Sus scrofa: one gene and its partner. The protein of the gene in region 1 purifies or fractionates together with the protein of each later gene. This does not show direct contact. Links are inferred from orthologs where the notes say so. Each region holds a gene or a part of one and is shown in the gene's direction. Other genes may lie near its edges.

Region 1 (3,808 bases):
CAGGCAAACCAGGCAAGGACAGGGTCTTGGGTCAAGGATGGGGCTCCCGGTGGCCCTTTCACGTTAGGTTTCTAAACGAGAATGTGCCCCCCGCCCCCAGGATTGACTCCAGGGACTTGGCTGCTTTGCAGGTCTCGCGTCCGAAAGAGCCAGATGCCTGGCAGCCACAGGAGACCCCACAAAAACAATAGGAGAAAGGGCCTGACAGCAACAAGTCCTCTCCCCTCGTAACTCTCCCCTCTCCTGCCTCCTGCCAACCTTGTCTGTAGGTTCTCGCAAAGACTCCGTTCCCCAAGTCTTACTTCCCGAGGAGGAGAAACTCATCATTGAAGAAACCAGGAGCAACGGCCAGACCATCATCGAAGAGAAGTGAGTAGAGCAGGTGAAACGGTTCCTGATTGGTCTGGGGGCTGGAAAGAAGGTTCTGGGAGCCTGGCCCTCTTTGCTGATCGTGCAATTGGGAGCCCAGGGATGCCCCTCACATTTATTGACTCGGACCCTGGACTTCCACATGCCTGACTCATTTGAACTCCTACCGCAAGCTAGTGAGATAAACAATTAGTTTTCCCCCTTTTAGAGATGAGGAAACTGACGTTTAAGGAAATCGTGTCCCTGGCCTCCCTTTGCACAGTGGTGAGGGTGACCCAGTGGGGGAAAAATCAGGCTAAATGCCGTATGGCTCATAAAATAAACACAAAGTAGACAAACAATTCATTGGTTTAAACTTGACTCATTTCTGAAGTCAAGGCTAAATTTGCCTAGGACAGCATATTTCACGGTGCTTGGCGTCGTCAATGTATTTTTCCATCTGGTGTTTGAAGTGCTACGGCCAAATGGTAAAGCACTTGGGCTCAAGAGAAGAACAGCCCTGGTTCAACTGCAAGTTCTGCTCCTTGTTGGTGTGACCTGGGGCAAGTTCCTGCCCCCTCTGTGCCTCAGTTTCCCCATCTATATGATGGGTGTGATAGTAATACTTTCAGGGTGGTTGTGAGCTTAAATGGAGTAAGAAGTACAAAGGTAATCACTTAACATATGATGGTGGTTGTAATTACTAAGATTATAGCTATATGCATCCCCACAGCAACTCTGTGAGGTTTTCAGGGACTGTAGCATTACCACCAACTTGTATGTGAAGGGAACTGGTTGCCCAAAGTTAGAGGACCAGGAAGTCGTGGGATCAGAACTGGAACCCAGATCTCCGAAGTCCTCTTCCAGGGGGAGATCCAGAGAGGAAAGGGCTCTTCCACAACTCAGCCAAGGCACTTTATCCTTTTTCTGAATATATGGAATGTTCCAGAACACCCTGAATTTGTGTCCTGTACGGTGGTGTAGGGTCAGATAGGCAAGAAGGGCAATGCCACCTCTCCTTACAGGTGGTGGTCCTTCTTGCCCACAAGAGAGAAAGCAAAATCTTAGAAGGAGTCCTACTCCCTTTCTTTTCTTGATTTTTCCCCTTAATTCTTTTTTTTCTATGAAAGTAGAGTTGATGTACAATATTCTGCAAGTTGCAGGTATACAATATACTAATCTCTTTTTTGGTACCCGCCCAAGCCGGGAAGTGAGCCGCAGAGGAGGAGGGAGGCATAGACAAGGTGTGAGGATGGGGAGAGTGCTTGAACACGCGTGTGTGGCACAAGTGAGGAACCTAGGGAGTATCCACAGCAGCGTCTCTCCCATCAGCCAGAAAGCCCACCGCTTTGCAGGATCTGTGTTTCTATAAAGCTGCTTTTCTTCTAAAGTATCACTTAACAATACTTCAGTGCCAGCTGTTACTCTCTGAGCTTTACCTTTGTATTCTAGGAGCCTCGTCGATACTGTTTATGCCTTGAAAGATGAGGTCAAAGAGCTGAAACAGGTAATGAAATCCGAAAGTCTTTTTTTTTTTTTTTTTTTTTGTCTTTTCTAGGGCTGCACCCATGGCATTTGGAGGTTCCCAAGTTAGGCGTCTGATCGGAGCTGAAGCCACCGGCCTACACCATAGCCACAGCAATGCCAGACCCTTAACCCATTGAGTGAGGCCAGGGATCGAACCTGTAACCTCATGGTTCCTAGTAGGATTTGTTAACCACTGCGCCACGACGGGAACTCCCGAGTTTTTTTCTCACTGGTCGACACCTTCAGGAAAGGACCAGAACAAGGTGGCGAGGTGGGGATTTGTAGTTCCCTTGTGTCATCCAGGTTTTGTGGATTTTACCACATGGCCCTGGGTTTCAATTTCTGAGGCTTCCTCATATATTTTTTGAGGGGTTTACAGTAGGGCCCCAAACTTAATGACAACTTTCATGTTCCTGGACATTTGCAAACAGAATATAAGAAAAGATAAGTCAGGAGTTCTCGTTGTGGCTCAGTGATTAACGAACCCGACTGGCATCCATGAGGACGCGGGTTCGGGTTCAATCCCTGGTCTTGCTCAGTGGGTTAAGGATCTGGCATTGCTGTGAGCTGTGGTATAGGTCACAGACGCGGCTTGGATCTGGCGTTGCTGTGGCTGCGGCCTAGGCTGGCAGCTGTAGCTCCGATTAGACCCCTAGCCTGGAAACTCACATATTTGGCACATGCGGCCCTAAAAAGCAGGAGAAAGAAGGAAAGAAAGAGAGAGAGAGATGAAAGAAAGAAGGAAGGAAGGAAGGAAGGAAGGAAGAAAGAAAGAAAGAAAGAAAGAAAGAAAGAAAGAAAGGAAAAGAGCGAACCAGGGGGAATTTCTGGCTCAACTGGTTAAGTATCTGGCATTATCACTGCAGTGGCTCAGGTCGCTGCTGTGGCTTGGGTTCCAGCTCCAGCCCAAGAACTTCCACGCGCTGAGGGAGTGGCAAAAAAAAAAAAAAAAAAAAAAAAAAAAAAAAAGCCAGGGATTGAAGAGGAAGCTTCTTACCTGGGTATCCAGTTTGATATGACAGTGGCCTTCACGGAAATCAGAAGGAAAAGAAGTTTGGGTGATGAGGGGAGATACTGACTTCGCTTTAGGACACAGTGAGTTTGAGGTCCTCGTAACACATGTAAGTGGAAATATCAGGTCGGCACTGGGGACCGGGGACCCAGTGCACATGAGCCGAGAGGAGGTCCGTACCAGAAAGACGGAGAGGCTGCTTCGGAGAGACGTGAGTTGAAAGAGAGAAGACATTAGGTAAAGAGAGTGTTGAAATAGAAGAGGGCCAGGGCCAGAGCCCTACATGATGCTTGTGTTTCAGGGACTGGCCACGGAGAAGTAGGGGAATCCAGAGGCTGCCTTGTCCTGGAAGCTGAGGGAGCGGAGTTTGAGGAAGGAGCGTGTAGTTGCTTGTGAAGGCTGAGCAGGAGGCTGAGCCGGAGGAGCCCTGAGATGGGGTCCCTTTGCCTGGTAACCAGCCAGCCTTTTCCCATTGTAGGAGAATAAAAGAATGAAGCAATGCCTGGAAGAGGAGTTGAAATCAAGAAGAGACCTAGAAAAGCTGGTCCGGAGGCTGCTGAAGCAAACCGATGAGTGTATTCGGGCCGAGTCCAGCAGCAAAGCCTCCCTTCTTCCCTAACCATCACCGTGCGGCTGGCAGAGTGCCTTGGCGGCGGCGGCAGATGTCCAGCTGAGTGACCCGACTCAGCTCGCTCACTTCTTTGGTTTTTATTTTGTATCTTAGTCTCTCTCTCTCTCTCTCTCTTTCTCTCTCTCTGGTTGAGTGTTGTTGTTTGGTTATTGGTTGGTTGGTTGGTTATTTTTTTCGACAGGAGTAAAAGCCAAGTCTCCCCGGAGGCTTTCCCACTCAGTCAGAAAAGGAGGGCTAACGTAGGCAGATGACTCCCAGGGTCCTCAGATGGCCTTCCATTCACAGTGCCT
Region 2 (4,262 bases), on another chromosome or scaffold:
AGTCTATTCTTGGAGCATATAGCCCTTTGAGTTTTCCAGCCTTGTGCAGGATTGCAGTCCCAACTCCTTGAACAGGGCCAAGGCCTTGTCTTTGGTCTCTTGTCTCTTGTGCAGTCAGTAAAACCATGGAGATTTGAGATAAGTAGTTTCTTTCAACACAACTTTGGCTTCACTGACATGCTTACCCCTCCAATTTCTTGCTCTCCCTTTGGGTTGAGTGGGAGTTTGGAAATCTGTCAGAGGTACTTCTCTTTCTTAAAAGCTTAGTTATGCCTTTGAAAGGATGTTCTCTTTTATCCAGCAATGTGTTTTTAATAGTGGGGGCTGTTTTTCAAGTTATCTAATAGTGTGCCATATTGCTCCTTGAATCTTTTCTCTCGTACTTTCCACATCAGTTGAGTTTTTTGCTTCACATCTATCAAAAGAACATACCCATTCTCCATTTTCACTGCTATCTCTTATGACAGTCATGATTACTGCCTCCTTTCTTCATTCCCTTCTATTCTTGAAAACCCAGAGTCCATTCTCCATGTAGCAATCTAGTGACCTTAAAGTATAAACCAGGAAACCTTCCTTCCCTGCTTACAGCTCTTTAATAGCTTGTTGGAATAAAATCCAGCCTTCTTACCATGTCATTCAGGATCCTCTCTGACCTGAATCTTGTCTCCTCAGGTGTTTTTTCACACTGCGCTACTCTTCTTGCACTAACTCCAGTTACACAGACCCTCTTAACTGACCTTAGAAAGTCCCCCCCCACCTCCTTCTGCTTGTAATGCTTTCTCCTGGGAGTTTCTCATGGCTGTCTCTTTCTGTTCTCAGCTTAAATGTCACCTCCTTAAAGATGCCTTCTCTGGCCAACTTATCCAAAGAAATCATCCTAGTTTTTTCTTCATACCAGGTATCACTATTTTAATTATTGTGTTTTCATATTTGTAAGTTACACAAAGTGACTTGTGTTCACCCTTGTATTCCTGATACCCAGCAGTGTCTGGTACAAATTAGACACCAAAATATTTGTAGAATTAGTGAACACATTGATGAACTCCTCCTCCTCCATGAATAAAACAGAGGCATTAATTTGCAAGGAGGCGCGACTTAATTTAGCACCAAAATACATTAATAAGAGTTGTAGGTAAAGGGCAAAATGGGTAACGGATGAATTCCCAGAAACAAATGTCTTAGAGCAGGTTCATATAATAACAGTTGTCTTTCAGCGTCTTTGGTTGGCACAGACCTGAGTGGAGACAATGCTGAATTACACGAGGCACTGGCTGTCTCTGTCAATAAAAAGAATACTAGAGATGGAGGGAGGGAGGAAAAGAAGAGAGATAAGAGGCACACATCTCTAAACTACAACTCCCAGCAGCCTCCGCGTTTGCCTGCCCACTGGGAGGCGGTGCCTGTCTCCGCCCGGTGGAGCTCCCGCCTTCGGCCCCGCCCCTGCCCGCTCCCCGCCGTCGCCCTCCCCCAGGGTTGTGGCCACGCGCAGCGGCAGCGGTTGTTCCGCTTCCCCTCTGGCCTGGGCCGTCGCCATTGCCGAAGGCTCCCTGCCCTCCCCTCCCGGCGCCCGCGGGGCTCGGCGGCCGCCCGGCCTAGCAGTAGAAGCCGCGGCGCTCCAGCGCGGCTCCACTTCCCGCCCCGCTTCCCCTTCCCTCCCCTCCCCGCCCCGCGTCGCTCTCTTGCTCGGGGCGGCTCCTGATCCCGCCAGGAGCTCGGCCGGAGGCTCCTCGCTGGGGCGGGGACCTTTCCTCGCCTGGGGTAAGTGTGCAGACAGGCCGGGACGCGGGCCGTCGCTCTCCTTCCTCCTTCCTTCTCCGCGGCCTGGCCGGCGCGAGCGGCCCGGGGCAGCTGACCTGCCCCGCGCGGGGCCGGGAAGCCGCCACCTGCGTGCCTGGAGCGGCAACTCTTGGGGCGGTGGCTCATTGTCTGCGCCCTCGGGCTGTTTTCTTCTCCGGTTTTAGCCTGAAATGGGAAGCTTGCTAGGCTGGTGAGTTCTGACTCTTCCTGGACCCGGCCCTGCCCTGAACCGTGTCGCGCCAATCTCTGCTCTCTGTCGATCTCCCTTCCCTCGCGTTTCAGCCTTCTCTTTTTCTCCATTTACTTTAGTGTTCGACTCACCGTTTCGGGGTTTTTAACTCGATTTTTTGTCTCTTACCGAGTTCCAGCCCCACCTTGCTACCTTTGGTCATCCCAGTTTCATTGCTTAGGCATATTGTCTGTAGTCCCCTTACTGGTTTCTAAACTGTAATCTGTGATATCTTCCATATTCCGGATCAGTAGAAACTATAGTTTTCCGAGGGTTTGAGGGCCTCCGCTTGATAACTGAGCTTTCGTATCTTCTCGTGATTCTTTGATCTTCAGCCAGGAGATGAATATTTGCTTCCTTAGGTAACTTAGGTGAAGGTTAGCTTTCACCATGTTTGGCTTTCTTTAAAATAACACACACATGCAAAACGGTACCGAAAATTCCTCAGCGGACTCAACTTTTTGACTAATTCTTTAAAGATAGAGTCATCCAAGAACTGAAGATTGGAAAGCAATTGCCATTGTTGTCAGTTGTCGTGGGGTTGTACCCGTCCTTGTCTCTTATCTTTAATGGAAACACTCTGGACAGTGAGAGCGTGATTTCTTTCCTCCTTGATGAATAATGCCAACTCCCATTGGTATAATTATCACAGTTTTGTCTTACAAGTGATCTATAGTTTTTTGTTTTCTTTTTAAAGCTCTGTTAAAAGACAATCAAAATGGTTAGGCCTAAAATTAGACTACGACGAGCAGTGTTTTGGATCAAGGTTGTGCACGTCACGTTTTTTCCCCTCCTCTGTTTGACTCTTCCGCTCTTGTAAGTAGGCAGGATATTGAAATGTAGAAGAATTTGCTCTGGGGGTTTGTTTTTGTAGGGTTACTCAAAAGAATAACATTAAATAAAGTTAGATTGTGATGAAGGCAGTGAATAGTAATTTTTAAAGCAGGTTAGAACTTGTCAACTTTGCCAGAAGCTCTGCGGCATTTATAAAACACACTTATAATAACTTCTACATGTTTTATATATGTGTATTTAAAAAATATGCATGTGAATGAAAAGCTTTGTTCATGTTCTTCTGCTAAGGGTATTGATTTAAGGCAACTCCTTTCATCCTTAGCTTTAAAATCTTTCTGGTTATTAATTAGCCCAAAACACTGACTTACGTTATGAAAAATGCACCTTAAGATGTTTCTGACCTGTAATATATGGAGGTATTAAACCCCACTTTCAGGTTTTGGTGAAGGAGGTTGACCTAAATTCAGTGAATTTTGTGTTTTCACTAGTTTATTGTTACCTAAACGACTTAGTCCTAAGCTTCACTATTGTCAAATTGGTGGTGTCTGTTGTCCTTACTTCAGTGACGTGCCTTGTTGGCCTAAGGGGTTAAGGTATGGAAGTGCTGGCGTGTGAAACAAGGTCCATTGAAGTCAGCCTCTCTGCCAGTTCTTTCTGTAAGCAGATACTTTTACTTGGGAAGAGTTCTGGGTGTTCTCCCCTTAGGTTGGGGCCTTGATTCCTAGTTTACTTTACCATTATTCAAAGAGAGGGTTATTCTTTGGGGCTTTGTGACATTAAGTACTAACCTGGGAAACCCAAATTCATAAAGTAAGTTTGTGGTAGGAGTCTGTCCACAAAACAAATGAATAGGGGTTTCTTTGGTTTTCTCATTTCTATGATAAGCAGATTTCCAGTAGACATGGTCATCAGTGATATATATGTCTTCTCAATTACACTTTTTTAAAGAGAAAACTTAGAACTTGTCCAAGTGGCTAAGGATAAACTTTCAATTATTTTAAAAGAGAGACCTTGTTCAGACAGCTAGGGATAAAATAAGTAGGTATTAAATTCTCCCCATGTTTAATCTGTCAATATTGATTAACCTAATATTTGAGTGTAACATTTCTTTTGGCTTTCTGAATTGTCTAGTTTTGATTAAAAACGTGAAACTGTGCCTTGTTCAAGTCTTTAAGAATTTGGGGTTCTGATCAGTTTTCAAAAGGCCTTCCAGTTAGAGGGCTAATTGCAGACCACGGGGCAGGGGGGAGAGGGGGTGTTAAGGTGCAGATCTGGGTTGACCCTTATAACCTTCTTGTACCTTGGTAGAAACAGAAAGAGGTGGAAGAAAATAGCCCCTGTTGCCTTAAAGAATTTTGTTTTCTTCTGGGAACGGAGTTGAGTCTCACTGCTTCTTCATTTTAGGATCACTAACCTGAATAAGAATAGTCGGTCTGAACAT

What was found.
Region 2: the proteins of ARHGEF6 (region 1) and PAK2 purify together in Homo sapiens (affinity purification with mass spectrometry; 3 studies listed by BioGRID and IntAct, counting the BioPlex papers as one, with this or other methods). This does not show direct contact. The link is inferred for Sus scrofa from reciprocal best matches to the Homo sapiens genes ARHGEF6 and PAK2.

Annotation. Positions count from the first base shown.
Region 1 is NC_010461.5:111,802,082-111,805,889, reverse strand, and holds part of ARHGEF6 (rho guanine nucleotide exchange factor 6), read left to right. Parts: intron 1-269; coding exon 270-369; intron 370-1,800; coding exon 1,801-1,855; intron 1,856-3,365; coding exon 3,366-3,506; 3' UTR 3,507-3,808. UniProt on the Homo sapiens protein: Acts as a RAC1 guanine nucleotide exchange factor (GEF).
Region 2 is NC_010455.5:133,380,660-133,384,921, reverse strand, and holds the start of PAK2 (serine/threonine-protein kinase PAK 2), read left to right. Parts: upstream 1-1,415; 5' UTR 1,416-1,758; exon of another isoform or gene 1,759-1,987; intron 1,988-4,262. UniProt on the Homo sapiens protein: Serine/threonine protein kinase that plays a role in a variety of different signaling pathways including cytoskeleton regulation, cell motility, cell cycle progression, apoptosis or proliferation.